3 linked regions of the Caenorhabditis elegans genome follow. The protein of the gene in region 1 purifies or fractionates together with the protein of each later gene. This does not show direct contact. Each region holds a gene or a part of one and is shown in the gene's direction. Other genes may lie near its edges. The genes, in order: spk-1, B0261.8 and mtpn-1.

Evidence for each region.
Region 2: the proteins of spk-1 (region 1) and B0261.8 fractionate together in Caenorhabditis elegans (co-fractionation; one large-scale study listed by BioGRID). This does not show direct contact.
Region 3: the proteins of spk-1 (region 1) and mtpn-1 fractionate together in Caenorhabditis elegans (co-fractionation; one large-scale study listed by BioGRID). This does not show direct contact.

What each region holds. Positions count from the first base shown.
Region 1 is NC_003281.10:9,455,141-9,463,597, forward strand, and holds spk-1 (Serine/threonine-protein kinase spk-1), read left to right. Parts: upstream 1-2,387; 5' UTR 2,388-2,843; coding exon 2,844-3,883; intron 3,884-3,960; coding exon 3,961-4,075; intron 4,076-4,128; coding exon 4,129-4,377; intron 4,378-4,483; coding exon 4,484-4,792; intron 4,793-4,843; coding exon 4,844-5,083; intron 5,084-5,377; coding exon of another isoform or gene 5,378-5,554; intron 5,555-5,925; coding exon 5,926-6,006; intron 6,007-6,052; coding exon 6,053-6,775; intron 6,776-6,822; coding exon 6,823-6,923; intron 6,924-6,966; coding exon 6,967-7,120; 3' UTR 7,121-7,867; downstream 7,868-8,457. Other genes in the region: rheb-1 (GTP-binding protein Rheb homolog 1), read right to left, coding at 112-238, 287-343, 395-491, 545-670, 797-869; B0464.6 (uncharacterized protein), read right to left, coding at 7,981-8,184, 8,242-8,335, 8,455-8,457. UniProt on the Caenorhabditis elegans protein: Required for embryogenesis and germline development in both adult hermaphrodites and males. SR-protein kinase (SRPK) that binds directly to and phosphorylates the RS domain of rsp-3/CeSF2 in vitro.
Region 2 is NC_003279.8:5,270,373-5,274,118, reverse strand, and holds B0261.8 (uncharacterized protein), read left to right. Parts: upstream 1-2,077; 5' UTR 2,078-2,087; coding exon 2,088-2,142; intron 2,143-2,199; coding exon 2,200-2,541; intron 2,542-2,597; coding exon 2,598-2,746; 3' UTR 2,747-2,854; downstream 2,855-3,746. Other genes in the region: C01G8.1 (uncharacterized protein), read left to right, coding at 1-152, 205-324, 371-564, 617-814, 868-1,107; B0261.7 (Zf-tcix domain-containing protein), read left to right, coding at 3,185-3,547, 3,594-3,716.
Region 3 is NC_003284.9:2,405,302-2,410,207, forward strand, and holds mtpn-1 (ANK_REP_REGION domain-containing protein), read left to right. Parts: upstream 1-2,165; coding exon 2,166-2,336; intron 2,337-2,385; coding exon 2,386-2,469; intron 2,470-3,773; coding exon 3,774-3,863; 3' UTR 3,864-4,266; downstream 4,267-4,906. Other genes in the region: C43H6.4 (PH domain-containing protein), read left to right, coding at 1-270, 317-433, 487-602, 811-945, 998-1,086, 1,392-1,768; trpp-12 (TRansport Protein Particle), read left to right, coding at 4,410-4,475, 4,796-4,888.

The sequences.
Region 1 (8,457 bases):
TAAATAAGTTTAAAATTTCTAAAAAGTTTTATATGTATTCGTAGTTTACATTTAAATTTTCACAATTTAAAAGTATGTAGTACTCTTTTTTCTAAAAAAAATTCAACTCACCGATTCTCTGGCCGTGATCTCGACAAACTTCGCATCCCATTGTCTAGCAAGTTCTTCACCTTCTTCTGCTCGAACGACCCTTTGCGTGCTGAGATCCGTCTTGTTTCCAACAATTACAATTGGAATGCTGGAAATTCTTGATTTTTGACTGCAATTTTACTTTCTGCTCAAATACCTTGTGTCACCATAGGTTCTTACGATTTTTTCATAGATGTTGCTGCACATTTCGAATCTGAATTTATAAATCTAAATAAAACAAATAAAGAAAAAACGGAAGTCTTACGATTTTCTATCATCGATTGCATAAACAAGTATAAATCCATTAATATCAAGGGAACAACTTCTCGGGAAAACTGTGTATTCTTGTTGTCCTGCTGTGTCTGGAAATATCTAATATCAGTTTTCAGTAAGCTCAAAAAATGATAAAATTTACCAGTGACTCTTAAATGATAGTCCCTGTGAAACGCTGCTATGTGCTTCGAATGTTGATCCTCAATTGTTGATTCATACCTTTCAGGGAAAATATTTTGTGTGAAACGAAGTACCAACGCCGATTTTCCTGTAAAGTTTCTCAACGTGAATGTCCTTGTTTAAATAAAGTTGTTTTAATTTTTTCATTGCTTTGTTCAATTTTGCTCCCGGTATGTTTGATTTTCTACAAAAAAAAGTTGTCGTAAACGCTCACCAACATGAGGATATCCCATAACGGCCACTTTTCGATTCAGACTCTGACGATTTGATTGCAGCGAACTGCTCATCTTCACAAAAATGAGTATATTCTGAATATTGAATGATTGAGTTTTGATAGAAGTATAAAAAATTAATAAATAAAATAAAAAGGGAAAAGTAAAAAAATTATTTTTTTAAACACTCATCATTATTTTTAAATTCTCTATTAATATTTAACATGTAGAAACAAAGAAATGATGTACTTTTGCAATAATATGCGCTTTTTTCCTGATAAAACGAACTAAAAACCAACTGTAAATAGAGAATTGCAGGCGAGAGAGCGTGTGAAAATAAGAGACGGAGGCGCATGATACACTTCTTGGCAGCAAGCCAAACCCACCGTACCCAAGCAAACCTGCAGATCAAACTCGAGATCGATATTTCTGGCGCAAAACGGCCGCCAATTTGAGCCCTCCGCGTTGAAAGCGTTATTATCATTCGAAATTGGCATAGGTCTTATCAAGAATTATATTTTATGTTTGTACGGGCAGATATAATCTTTTTATCATCATTTTTGTTGTTCAATTAACCTCCGCAAACTTTTAAAAACTCAAAAACATTTTCCTCTGAAGTGTTTTCTTGTTTTCCCCGAATTTTGATGAGTCCTATTTTATTTATTTGTATCAATTTCAGTGAAACGAACCGTGTTTAAGTGTAGAATATGGGCGGACCAGAAAAAAACAGCACAGTACCACTGCCAAATAAGAAAAGGAAGAAGAAGACCAATAAGAAAAAGGTGAGCATTTTTCGGTTTCTGTTCAGAAGTTTTCCCTTTTTCTAAACACTTACACTTTCGAAAAATTAAAGCTCAGTCTGTTCTGACACTAAATCGAACCCAAAGAATACTCTTTTTTTCTAATGGCCTCTAGAGATTTGAAAACTTCAAACAGCTCTGTCGCATTCCCTTCATTTCACGCACTTCCGAGCTTACTCTCTTGGATGCGAGCCCTCCACTAATATATTCTCACATCAGTTTTAACTTAGATTTCTCCTTTGCCTCAAGTAAAATGAGAACGGCTTCATTATGAGCCAGTGGCAGCCGCTAATGACCCAGGGGTAGAGATAACCACTAATTTTCTTTTCTTACACTAGTTTTAAAACAAAACAAAGTGAAAATTTATGAGCATGCTTAGTATTTTGCATTCAATACATTGGCTATATCGCCGATTGAATGTGAGTTTAATAGAATTCTGCCATTAAGCTTTTTTAATCTTCATATTTCAGCCCACAGCACCAAACACGCCTACATCTCCTCAAGCGGGTGAGAAAAACGCAAATTTGAAAAATGGAACAGTTACAACAAACGGATCAAATCACGTGGAAAGGTGAGATTTTGAGTTTTTTTTTTTAATATGCTTTAATTACATCGCTGAAACCGGGACCAAAATGATTATAAGTTGTTTGGTGTAATCGTTGCATCGTCCTTTTCTCATGACAGCAACTGGTTGTCTTTTCACTTCGTCTCAAATGATCCCACCTTCGTGTGTCCGTCATCCATCCACCCATCCATCCATTCGTCCCTTCTTTTCTATCTTCTCTATTCCTTCACCTTGGCCTTTTCTCTCTGTCAGCTGTCTCCTCTTCGCGACCTGGCCGACAAGTTGAAGATTGAAACAAGGAAGAGAGACCCAGGATTTCCTCTATCTCTTGTTGGGCGCCGCAATCATTACATCACTATCACTTGAACACTCTTCCTTCTCACACCGATCGCGTTTTCTTCAAGTCGCTCCTCGCGCCTCGTTGGCCGCCGCCAATATTCTCGAGACACTTCTCGCGCCGCTGATCTTCCTTATCCCCCTTCCCACTCTCAAAGCGTCGCAACTCGCTTCTACGTGGTCGCTATTTCAAAAAAAATCGCCTGCTTTTGAATCCAGTTTTCTTCTGTCAGGCTGGCCGGTCGAGCAGTACATTCGCTCTCAGCTATCGATTACTCGGGTATAACAAATGATGTCGAAGCAGGCGGCTCCTTCAGCTTAACTGACGTTTTCCCCACTGTCATATTCATGTTTGTGGTTCTATTCTGTAGATGGCTCAATGGCTTCAGCCAGCATCGAGAACGACTTTATAAATTCGAAGATGAAGCCGTTCAGAGACGCCGCCGTTTTCGTGTTCATTCAGAGGAATCGGAAGAACTGAATGACCACGAATCGTATTCTGAAACTGATATTTGTACACAGCTTTTGGCATCATCTGCAGACGTAACCTGTCATATAAATGTTGATTTGGTCAACCAGAATCGATTTTATTTCTTTGTAAAGCAAAGAAATAAAAAAGAAAATTCGACCAATGAAGAAGAAGAAATCTCTTCCCAAGAAATAAATACGAGTACACAAAATGAAGAGACAGAAGTTAATTTAGTGTTCGCTAGTGCGGAAGATAATGGAGGCGTCGCGTCGAATTTCGATATATCAGACGCTCTAATGGTTACCTCTAACATTTCCGAAGTCAGTAAACTACCGGAAACGTTGTGCGAAGAGGGTGAAACTGTACAACAAAAAAGTGTTGTAAATGAGAATGATCATTCGAATGAGGACGATGAACAGTCGCTACAATCACAAGATGGTTCAAGATGCTCTGATGAAGACATGAACTCTTGCGTATCTGCCTCAGATGAAGAGGACGTTGAATCTCAAGATGATTCTTTTCATGTGAATGATGCTACCGAAGAATCAATTGATTCGGTAAGCTCTATTGAATCACAAGAAGCAGAAGAGTCAGCAACTGAAGATTTGGCGTCGTGTCATTCGAACGACGATAAAAATGAAAAAGATGTTCTTGTCGATGAGGACACATCCAAATACGATAACCTTCCGGTGGAAATGCGGTCAGCAAAAGAGGGTGAAGAGAGTGAAGGGACGATCGATTCTTCAGTCTCCTCGTCGACATCGTCTTCCTCAACGGGCGACGACGGGGACGACAGTGCTACCTCTTACGACTCAGAAGATATCGAAATTCAGATGTTCGAGTATGATCTGGGAACCGCATGCGCTTCAGCTTCTATTTCTATTCCTCGTCCATCTATAATTCCAAGAAATAACAAAAAGTAACATTTATTTTCCATTAACTAAATTAGTATTACTAATATCAATCAGAAACTGTCTTTTAATTTACATTTTTCAGGACCGAAGTCAATGCTAATGAAGAGCGTTTGGACGATTTAAGTGTGAGCCCCGGACGAAGTGATTCTCCTGGAGGCGGCGGTGGTGGACATTCAGATTCATTCCAAGATCCAATGGTGAGTTGATTTTTGCATTTCATTTTTTTGTATTTATACATATTTATTTTCAGGATCCTGGAGAACAACTTGGATCTGACGATGAAGAACAAGAAGATCCACGTGATTACAAACGAGGTGGATATCATCCAGTCAACATTGGTGATGTATTCAATGCGAGATATCATGTGATTCGTAAACTTGGATGGGGTCACTTTTCTACGGTTTGGCTGGCGTGGGACACTCAAGACAAACGATTTGTTGCCATGAAAATAGTGAAGTCAGCGGAGCATTACACGGAAGCGGCTCTTGATGAAATTAAGGTTAGTTTTGAAGTAACGTAGTGCTGAAACAATAGATTTTTATGCAACATTCTCTGAGACTCGAGAAAAAAAAATTAAGACTAATATAAAACGAGAATAATTTCAGTTGTTGCTATCCGTACGAAGTGCTGATCCAAATGACATCGGATGCCACAAGGTTGTTCAATTGCTCGATGAATTCACTGTTACGGGAATTAATGGTCAGCACGTTGCTATGGTGTTTGAAGTTCTTGGGTGCAATCTGTTAAAGCTGATTATACGCTCAAATTATCGAGGACTTCATCTGGAACAAGTTAGGAAAATATGCAGACAAGTTCTGGAGGCGTTAGGATATATGCATGAAAAGTGCGGCATCATTCATACTGATATTAAACCTGAAAATGTGCTAATCACGATGAGCCGAGAAGAGATCAAGGTATTTTTTAAAAACCATTAATTGTGGAATTAATTTTTCAAAATTTTACAGATTATGGCTCAACATGCTGTAGTTGCCCGGAAGATGAATATGAAAATGAGTGGATCGGCTGTCAGTACTGCACCGGATCATTTGGTGAAAATGGCTCAGGAGAATATGACGAAAAACAAGAAGAAAAAGATGAAGAAGAAGGCCAAAAAACAACGAGAGAAGTTGGAAGCGGAATTGGCTGGACTCGAAGGCCTCAAAATGGACGCTAATGGGCTGCAGGAGGCATACAATAATGCACCGGTAAGTTGAACACTATACCGTTCTTCTTCTAATAGTATTGCACCCCAATACTTGAATTTTTAAATTTGAAAGAATATATCTCTGTTCATTTCAAAGATATCATTTCACATTTTAATTTTGAAACGATAGAAAAAGAAATAAAAAAGTATTTTCTTAGTTGACAAACATTGGAAAAGTTTCGATGTGCAATAATAATAGAGGAAATACGCTGGTAATTTTTAAAAAATCAAGATTATACTCTATCAATCATAATTTTTTAAAAAACGAAACAAAAACGATAAAACTGATATATAGCAAAATGGTGTCCGAATGCGTCCTCCATCTTTGCTCTTCAATGGTCCGATTCCCCAACTGCTTCAAGGCAGTTCTTGTGTGAATACGCCATCGTCTCCAAGAACGGTTCCACCGCCACCACCATCTCTCTATCCACAGGTTGGATGCGTCTGCAATCAGACGTATCATCTGACACAGGTGATCCTGAATGCGAATGTTGGTGTGAGTGTTTGGTTGTGTTGACATGATGATGGTTCCCTTCTACTCTCTCTTCCTCGATTCACACACTTATTTCCACTCTGCAACCAAAATTACCGGAAGACGCTTGTATATTCACACGTACCTCATTTCTCCTTCCGTTTCTTTATTTTAAAATTCACTGACTATTTAGTTTCGGTTTTTTTTGCCGCTGCGCCCTGGATGCCGTCTGCATTTTTTCGTCGTTTCGTCTTTGTTGCAGAAAATACATCAGTGCTGTATCTAATTTTTATCATATATAAGCTTAAACATGTTGTGAATTCAGTTTAGAAAAAAATCTGAATCAATTAATTTAATTTTTATTTTTTCAGGAGTTGGAGAACTTCAACGCTTCACAAGTGGAAGATGTCACCATGGAAGATACTGTCAATGAAAATGGAAACAGAAACAAGGTATGATATATTTCATTTTTGTAGCCACAACCATTTATATTTTCAGGTGGAAATCAGGAGCCCTGATCGTTTCGATAGAACCACGCTGACTCCATTCAGTGATCCGGAGAGCAAGTTTGGAGATTTGGCCTCACCATCCGCCGAATATCTGAGCTCGCCCATGAGCCAGTTGCCTCCAGGTGGTATCCTGCCTGCTCCTCCAGTTGGCCCCAACATTGGTGATCCATATTGTGACATCGACGTCAAAATCGCTGATCTCGGAAACGCGTGTTGGGTGAATCATCACTACACGGACGATATTCAAACTCGTCAGTATAGAGCACTTGAAGTGTTGATCGGTTCAGGATACGGACCTCCAGCTGATATTTGGAGTACCGCGTGTATGGCTTTTGAATTGGCAACCGGTGACTATTTGTTTGAACCACACCAAGGAGATAACTATTCACGCGATGAAGATCATCTTGCGCACATTTCCGAACTTCTTGGAGCAATTCCACCGTCAATTTACAAAAAGGGTAAACATTGGAGAGAGTTCTTCCACAAAAATGGACACTTACTTCACATTCACCAACTTAAACCATGGTCACTATACGAGGTTTTGAGACAAAAATACGAGTGGTCTCATGAAGACGCGCAGCAGTTTGAAAGTTTCCTTCGTCCGATGCTTGATTTCGATCAGGAGAAACGATCTACGGCCAAAATTGCATTGAAACATCCGTTCTTGTTACCATTTGGAGGAAGAGCGCCAAAATCTGATTGTCCACCTGAGGTTTTATATTAATTGTCTGTTCAATATTTTCTCTATAATTTTTACAGCTTCTGAGCAAGATGTTTCCGGATGGATTGATTCCCGAGCCGTTCGACGGAAATGAGCATCAGGAAGTTTACCGTGACGAAAATGATAGTAGATCGGCGAGGTTCGTAAGCTCGGACCGACGCGGATGTAAACGCAAATTGCAGCGAGAGGAGTGCCAATAGCAGGTCTGCGGGCGGCAGCGACGACGACGACGAGGAGGAGTTCAACATGAATCGACCTGGTCCATCGGGGGTGATAACAAACAATGAAACGACCGACATTTCTGACATTGAACGCTTTCAGCTGGATTTGCAGTAGTGCACGAATCCCTCCTGTTTGTTAACACTTCCATCACCGTCTCGTCACTCTTCAACGCCCTCTTGCACATCTCCCGAGTTAAACATGTTCTCCTGTCAATTTGACGATATTCATCTTTATGTTTTTCCTTTTTTCAATCAAATTTTACTCGTTTCTTGCCTACGATAGGTGAAAAGAAAACACTTCGGGCTAATTTTTTTTTTCAGCATTTTCCAATCTTTTGTTCCAGAGTGTTTACTTTTATGTTTTGAATCTAGACAGTGTTTAACTTATTGTTTCGGATTTCAACAATCATCCGACTACTTCATCTCCCCATTCTCCCTGTCACTTTCTACATCGAATCACCGCATCCTTTCTCTTTTTTACCACCGTTCTTCCTGAAGTGACTGAGCAGTAAGCACGTTTAGCGCCACTCTCGTGCGCGTCTCGTTGAAGCGCCTTTTGATCTTTAGTGCTACTGGTATAATATAATTATTTTGTACGAACATCGTCCTTATCCTCTGCCCAACAACATCATATGCTTCTATCAGCCTCAAACAGTAGATCATCTTTTCCCCCCATTTCTTTTTCATTTATATTCCTCCGTCTGTTCACATACCCAAACTATTTGGCATAAACCTTTCTCAAATCTTTACTGTGCTTCATTGCTTCCTTTCCCCTTCTCTCTCTCTCATTATCTCGGTTTCCTCGTAGACATAAATGATTGAATTTTGTAACGTTAGCGAGATAAAAAATAATTGATTCATGTGGGTGGTCGTCGAGAGATCGTAACAAAAGAACAACAAAACAAAGCGGGAGAAAATAAAAACCTGTTAAAGGATACGATAATAAACATCATATAAAAACTTGAATTGAATTTTTCACGCCAGGACGTATGTCATGTTAATTCCTGATGGTCCGATTGAGGTCTGATCCAGATATCCATGATTTTCATGTTTCACAAAATGAATAAATTGAGCGATAGCACGGAAGAGATTGGGTGATTGACGGAGAACGTTGCACTTAATTGCATATCCATTTTCATCAATGTGCACAAATTCAGCGTGTGGAGGAGATTTTGTAACCTGAAAAAACATTTCTTGAAGTGAGGAGGAACAAGAGTGAATTATTATAAGCCATACCATGTGAAGATAGAAACTGAATGGAGTACGTTGAGCAGATGATGGTTTTTGAGCATTTTTGACACAGAATCGGCTGGTGAATGGCTGGTCAAGGCTGAAAATTGATTTAATTTTTAACACAATTTATTGAATTAAACGTTAAAACAGGATTATAAAAGTATACTTTTTTCAGATTAACTGAAATCTAATATATTCCAGAAAACAATTACTAACCGA
Region 2 (3,746 bases), on another chromosome or scaffold:
TTACTTTCCAAACAATGAAGTGGCACCCACTGCCGACGGAAGTTTGATCTCCACAATGAGCCGAAAATCGACGAAATCGGAACGAAAAGCTGCGAAAAAGGAAAAGAAACGGAGTCAACTGGCTGATACATCCGCCCCGGCTATCTTCCATGGTTAGTTGTCTGAAACCATGATACAAATAAAATTTTAATGACGAATTTTCAGTTCCTACTGCGCCAGCCGATATCGTCACTGAAGGAGAAGGATCGACTGTAGGCCAAGGTTCTGAGATTGATCGTCGGACAGTTATCACCGACTCGCTTCCTTACCGAGAGCCCAGTGACAGTTAGTTTAGAAAAAAAATTATTGAATGTTATTGAGAAAATTTCAGAAGTTTACATGGGATCACCACCAAGCACTGTTCCGCAAGCTCCTGAGAGCAGCAGTAGCACTCGCAGCCTCGTCGGTTCAGATTCGATTAAATCTCGTTTGGAGTCTATGACTATTGACGGGACAAGCTCGGTGCTTCAACACGTGGATTCACTCACCAATTCAGTTTACTCGGCTGAATTCTGTCAAGAAGTGGTAAGGATATTCTAGTTATGAAACGAAACTAAAATAATTGAAATATCTTCAGGATTCTCAAAATACGTGTGATGCGAAGAGTCGTGAACTTCCAGTCGATTGTGACATTCCAACTGCTACTGAGCCACTACCAATCTCGACGAAATCTAACCCGGTTTCCAACTCATCGTTGACGTATATGGCTGATGTCAAGCTGATACTGCCGGATAAGCGAGATGAGAAATCGGAAGAAGTTGCTGGAATGAAGCAGGTATACTGATATATTGATATATCCCCATATCGTTCTATTATAATTATTTCCAGCTCAACGCCGAGCTTGACGGCTTATTGAAAACTTCTGCTCCTCCATTCCAAGTCTCAACTGCTCGTCTTCCACCAATGCTGAGAGAGCTTCCACCACCAGCCAATGATGAGTCAATGCTCAGTGGAAATGATGAATTTGACGATTCGAAGAACAATTCGGTTGCTCGGTATCTCAATGAATCGCATGAAGTGATGATGCGCAGTCCAGAGAACAAGCATCTTCGCAGCTGTGGATATTAAACCAGTTTTATATATTTTTACTGCACGATTGTATATTATTGAGTTTCCCCCATGATTTTGTAAAATATTCCCCCTAAAACTACTCAATCTCCTAACAACTATTTACGCATTCCTACATATATTTTGACGATGAATTTAAAGTTTGAAATGAAATCAGTTTCCTGTCAAACAAGTCTTGCAATGCAAATATAAACCTCAGTCTTCTTTTTTGCACCCATAATCATTCTCCTTTCCTCCTCTTTCTCTAATTTTTATCCTTTTTCTCGTTCACACCGGGTGAACATTTGTCCTCGTGTGCTGGCCGCTGCTGCAGTCGTCCATTTTCTTTTTCTCTTTTCATCCTCTCAATCTTTTTTCCACTTCTAATTCTCTCGATCTCCCTCAGTGTCTTTGTTTTCGTCGTCCGTCGTATGTCAAGTCTTCAATCCTAAATTTTATATTCTTTTGGAAATTTTATGAGCCAAAAACATTCCTGACTCTTAAAAACTATCCAAAAATGTTCAAAAGTGCAGCTGATCAACGATAATTTTTATTAATTTTAGGCATTCCATAGTAGGCAGGCACTTCTTCAGTCGTACGTGTCTGCCTTATGTCTATACGTATACGTGTTTTTTAAAGTCTAAAAAGTTTGAAGTACCAAGATGCGAAATCTTGCCCAAAAAGTACGGTGCACGATCTCGACACGACAAATTTTCGTGAATTGCAAAAAGTTCACATTTAAAGAGTACCGTAATACCATTCATAAAAAATCGTGAGAAAAATTTATGAAAGTTCCGCAGCAACTAACGTTTGAAGTTACAGTACTCTTTAAAGGCGCACACCATTTCTGCATTCAATAAAGGTCGATCATGTCGAGACCGGCTACCGTATTTTTGGCGCAAAAATTACGGTGTTTGATACATAGCAGTTCTCCTCGCTCTAAATTCTTCTAAGCCTTCATCAGATGAATAATAAGAAACAAGTATTTCAATTTCAGAACTATGGGAAGCCTTCTATCCACACCAGAGGGATCTAATCCTATCGGAAAAGCCATTGGTGAGTTATCATCTGTACTTTAATATTTTTACGATTTTACAAAAACTGGTGATTCAGGATTTCTTTCTCAACGCAAAAGACCAGCCGTCGAGCTCCAAGATGATTTTGAACCAGAAGTAAAAGTTCAGCGAACTTGTGAGGTCCAGGATGAAGAGGCGGAAGAAGAAAATATCGAGTTTGAGCATGAAATTGACGAGGAAGAGATTGAGGAGCAAGACGAAATTGTTCATGAACAATCTGAAAACGACCAAAACTTGAAGGATAGTGATGAAAAGAAAAACGAAATTGTTGCTCTCGAGAAGTCTACTGAAAAAGACGAGGAGCTTCCAATACCTGAAAAGGAGGCACAAGTGGATCAAGAAGACACTTTGGAGAATCTTTTTGAGAAGGAAACGGAATGTGAGTTCGTTAATTTGAAATTGATTTTTCGATTTTTCCTAATGTTGCTTTTTCAGCCAACAATACAAATGAGCAGCAAGAAAACGTTGAAACGAACGATACCACTTCCAATTTTGATCTCAACGAAGCAGAGGAAAGAGTCGACGTATTTTCAAACGGGCTTCTGACTTCAATCCAATCCACTCAACCAGAAATCATTGCATAAATTGAATTTATTAACTTATTTTTTATCAACGCCATTAAATTTTAATTTTTAAAATTTTTTTCAAAATATGTGACAAAATAAAATATTATAAACTTGAATTTTAGCTAATAAATTAACATATTATTAATAATACAGTAATATTTAATAATAAAACCATACTACGGTAGACAATGGCAAAGTCCGCAAACACTGTTAGGAAAATTGCGTACATTGCAATGATGCTCTATCGAAATAGTTTTTAGGATTTTTCTCTTAAAGTTTCTCTCATCATTTTCGCAACGCTATATTTTCTTTTTTATTTCAATTTAATATTAAAATAATCGCAATTTTTAGTAAACGAAGGATACTTTGGAGGAACCATTAATATTTTTCGAGCTTATAATTTTCTACCTTAATATCTAAACATTATAGTTCATTATCCCAATTTTTTCAGATAAAATGAGCTGTGTTGATAGTGTACACAGCAGTCGCGATCATTCGGTCCAACTTTCTCTGGAAAAGACTGCTTCTAGCAATGGGGACGAAAATTCAGAAGCGGATCCAGATCAGTCTTCGGGTGCGGTCAACCGTTCAAGATGGACTGAAAACGCCGCAAGATGCTACAAATGCAAGGACCTCGTGCCACACAAACTTCTCTTTGTCTGCCGACATGAAAAGTGCGCTGGAGTTTTCAAAGGAAACAAGAAATATGCTTCGCCGTTCGACTTTTATTTACATGAAAAAGTATTTTGCTCGGCATGCATCTTCACGGGCAGCCACAAGAATCATTCTGATCAGGCGGAGGGAGCCTACAAATTAGCGGTAGAGTTACAGTGAGTATGAAATCAATTCTCAAGAAACATTTCAGATTAAATCGGCTTCTACTGGTGAAGATATGGGACTGATTTACCAGACACTTGCATTTCTTGATATTGACGAATCAACTGATTTCATGATCACCAACGACTTCGGTATTCCACATCTTCCAGTGGTTAGTACTTGAACATTTATTACCGTTACC
Region 3 (4,906 bases), on another chromosome or scaffold:
GCCTACGAGATTCAATACTTCATGAGTCAATTACAACTAAATAATTCAGTATCGGATGAAATTTTGGCAGACAGTGCACACCGTCATTTAATTGAACTAGATATGACACGTCAGAAAAATCCAACAAATCACGGACTTATTTTCTTTTCCCGCCAAAGTGTGCTCATAAAGTACTTCCCCAACTATCGACAAAACGTGTTCGATGAGCTGATGAAGTTTGCAGTTTTAGAGCCAATGATGGATGAAAAACAACGTTGCGTATATTACACGGTACAGTTTTTAAAACTCATCAAAACATACAAGTTTATAATTTTAGTGCCTCGCTGCAGTGTGTCCCAAAAAGGAGCAACATCACCAGAATAGTAATCCGGAACTTTTCAAACTTCTTTTCAAACGACTCATGAAGTTTCTACCAGATGTGCACGCAGAAGGGGTTAATTGAAGGATTTATGAGCAAGTAAATCTAATTTAATTTTTTAATTTCAGATTGACCAAGTGTTTGGTCCATTTGAAATGGTTTTGCACTGTCTGTATAACCTGTACCAAATAGATACAAAATTAAAAGCAGTTATGACTGAAATCGATCCAGACTGGCAAGAAAAGTAAGTGGTTTAATACCTTTGAATTTTTTTTTGTGTGTTATCTAAAAAAATTATACTATTCTTTTTAAAGGCCAGTGGGGAAATTTCTTTTAAACATACCATAATTACTAAATAAAGTATTAAGTTGCAACTCAAGTTCTTGGTTTGTTTGAAGAATCTGAGCAACCTTTTTTCGAAAAAATTCAAACTTTTCTTATTTTATTTTCAGAATCGCAAAGGAAATTGATTTCCACATTGTAGCAAATGCAAATAATGTGTACAACTGGGGACGTTTTAGTCGTCATTTTAATCATCATGAGAGACAGCGATACCAACGTGAGCAATACATTATTGTAAATACAGGGTATGTAAATTGGATAATTTTTTACTTCAGAAAAAAATCTGTCTATTTTCAGAAAACTTCTCGTCTATATGCTTGGTGTAATCAACAACGACGTTCTTCAAGTTGAGCCAAGTTTCATGAGCCCTTTGAATATTTTTAAAGGTAGAGTTGAGAATAGATTTATCAAATTTTTTTGATAACGTTGCAAAAAGTATCATGACAAAGACAAGGTGCGTGAGCCTTGCAGACGAATGTTTCACTTCAAAAAATTTCAATCAAGACTTAAGAATGCGTTTTTAGTGTCAGAATGACAATTATTTACATTGGATAAAGCTTTATGAAAATGTATTCCAAAACATGATAAAACCTTCAGTAATTTTGAGACAACTCAGCATTTTTCAGAACTATTTTGAATTATTTTTTCCTTTTCGAAAACTGAGCAATCTGTAGCATATTTCAATTTTCAGGCTACAAACTTACCGATGGATTCAAAAATTCGTTTCCAATCTTTATGACAAAAACTCTCAGCCGACCTGGTGGTCGTGTACCTTTGCTCCATCGGATCACAATGAATTATGATCGGATTTTTGGCAATAATCAAAATGTTGAAACCGAAATTACAAGACATTTGAGGCATTACTGGCCCATATTTCAACTCAATAACAATAATGATCAGGAACGAATTCATTTGGAAGAGCAAATGCGTCACGTTCAAATTGATCGTCTCACAGACGCAGATTCGTTTGGTGTTCCATATTTTGTGGAGTCTGAATATCCCTATGAATCGGATGATTCTTCCGACGAAGATGAAGAGGAAGTTATCAGTCCAGTGTCGGCTGCTTGAAAATTGAACAACACTTCAGAGATATTTCGTTTTCCGTTGTTTATTGTTTCATTTTTCAATGTTTTCACACCTGATCTTCATCTCTTTTTTCATTTCTCTGCGCACACTAAGCACACAACACCAGCCTTTCTCATCGATTTTTTGCGTTGTTCAGCGGAAACTAGCTGTCCAGTCTGATATATTGTTCTGTATACAAATTTTTATCCAAATTGTCAATTTCTAACATATTTTGTTGTTACAGTTTTGTTTTTTTAAAACACGTATCATAAATTTTGTAAATAAAAGTTTGAAGCTCAATTTTCTTGAAGTTTCCTTGAGATTTTATTTCACTGGTTTCTAACCTACTGCTATTTACATTTTTGTGAACATTTTCTATTAAAACTCACAACAATTCCAGATGTCCGTCGCCTGGAACGTACAAAACGGAGAGATCGATGCAGTGAAGCAGAGCGTCAACGAGAAGAACGTTCACGAGATCTACAACGGCCGCACCGCCATTCAAATTGCCGCCGACTACGGACAGACTTCTATCATTGCGTATTTGATTAGCATTGGAGCGAATATTCAGGTGAATCAGCACGATATTCAACAATATGCATTTATGTTTGTTGATTCAGGATAAGGACAAATACGGAATCACACCGCTGTTGTCTGCCGTGTGGGAAGGACATCGCGACGCGGTGAAGCTGCTACTCCAAAACGTGAGTATTTTATGGTGCAGTAGCGCCTGTCGTGTGCTAGTAAGCTTAAATTTTACAGTGAAACTTTCCAGAATAATTTTATTCGCTGTCAAAAACGGCTATTTCTCAGTTTTCGCCTCAAAAAATTTACGAGTAGGCGAAAAAAAAGGCGATTTTTGAACTCATCAAATAATGTTTCAAATATTCTAAAAATTCAATCATTGCTCTTCATCTTACAAAAAATCTAGAACTTTTGTAATTTTGGCATTTTACTTTTTGAGAAAACCATAGCACTGTTACGTGTTCGAATTTCGAGGCTGTTTAAATATCAACAGTTGAAACGTAAGTAGGCATTAAAATTCGAAATAAAATTTTTTTGATCGACAACTTCCAAAAAGTGGCAAAACCTGAGATTTTTCCAATTAAAAAAAAATAATTTAAAATTTAGATTTTTCTTTAATATTTTTATTATGATAATTGATCATTGTGGTGTCATAGCCATTTTTTTTTAAGGCGGAATAAAGAAAAAAAAATACTTTAAAATATTTTCTCAAAATTTTAGAAAATCGAAGGTTATGATCGAATACAACAGTAATAATTAATTTTTTTAAATGATTTTTGTAAATTTGCAAAAATCCAAAAAACTGCCGAATTAAATTTCAATTCCCGCGCAATTGAGTGACGTCATGTTTGACTATTTGGCGTTTTCTGGCTAAATACAGTTTTTCTTGAATTTTTCTGTAATATTTGATTTCAAATACCGTTTATTAAGTTTTCAAACATTTTCCAGCAAAAAAACCATAAATAAAAATCCTTAGTCAATTTTGCAACCAATTTTGCACTTCTTTTCGCAATTTTCTTTTGGGTTATTAGAAATTCTCTATGGAAAAATGTTTGCAAAATTGACAAGCGGCGTATAAATATTGAAGTAATACCGATGAATTTAGCCAGAAAACGTGATTTTGCCAAAAAATTATGTCACTCATTTGCGCGGGAATTCGAATTTATTCATGACTTGTTTTTCGATTTTTGCAAAATTGGAAAAAAAATCATAAAAAATTAAAATTTTTTTGCACATTACTTCACCTTTAGAACAATTTCCCCACTGGCGCCACACCATCTCAAAAAGTATTTAACAATTAATAAAAAATAAACATAAATGAGGTACATATACCTAATCAACCGTGGTTTGAAACGGATTCCTCGCCCTAACTTAACCTTTAACATGAAAATTACATTTTAACAATTATACAAGTTTTATTAGATACAAGCTTTTTTGAAGTTTAAAAAAATTACATAATATTCATATATCAGTTGCTTTTCAGGGTGCGGACCGTTCGATACACGCCCCAGACGGCACGGCACTCATCGACTGCACCGAGGAGGAAGACATTCGTGAACTTCTTAAAAATTGAGCATATTTTACTTTAATACATGCATAAGTATATTTTATCAAGCATTCGCTAATTTATTCACCATTAAATCTCGATTGCGGCATTTTGTGTACTTTTTTACTTTTTTATCTTCTTCCAAATGTGGAATTTTCATGTTCACTTCTTTTTCTCTCTTTCGCTTTTTAGTTTCATTGTGATGTCAATTTCAATCATCGATCTTGTTCCTTCCCCCCATTCATTGAAATCCTGTCACATATGTGTCTGTTTCCGATGCGTTTTCCTTATTCCGTTGCTTATTTCGTTCATCCACATATTGTCTCGGTTCTCTGCTTTTTTTGTTGCAGCTTTAAATTTGCTTTATCACCCAACTGTGTGTCTTATCACCGTACACCCGTCCATATAAATAATAAAGGTGCTTGCTTCGAGAAAACATTTCCATTTTGGTTTTGATTCTATTTTGTCAATGATCGCGTACAACAATCGGATTATTCGTATTTGAACTGCAAATGTGCACTTGTCGACTCTTTTACCACAATGCCGAATTCTAGGGTGAAATTGAAGGACCGAATGCTGAATTATGCCTACGAGGACAAAAAACACCTACTGTACTGGCCAGAATCAGTTAGATTGAAAGTGAGTTCAAAAATTATTCAATTTTTTTTTGTTACTATTTTTCCGGCCTAGAAATTATTATTCCTAACGGTAAAATTCAAAAAATTTACATTTATAATTTTTTTGTTGAGAAACTTGAAAAAAAAAACCTTTTTGGGGTACATGGCAAGGATAAACAGCGGTAAAGAGATGTAGATTTTATCGATTTTCGCAATATCGGGATGTATGGAAAATGGAGAAAATGAGGAAATATTTACAAACTTTTATATTGTTGCCAAAACTAATAGTTAAGAAATGTGTCTAGATATTCAAAAATTAACAAAATAATTCTAATATTTCAGTCCACAAAACCAGATGCTCGAGGAACAATGCAATATACAATGCCGGGTATCAAGGAAGACTTTATTCGTAGTCCAATTGAACATCGTTACCAAGTACGTCATTATGCAACT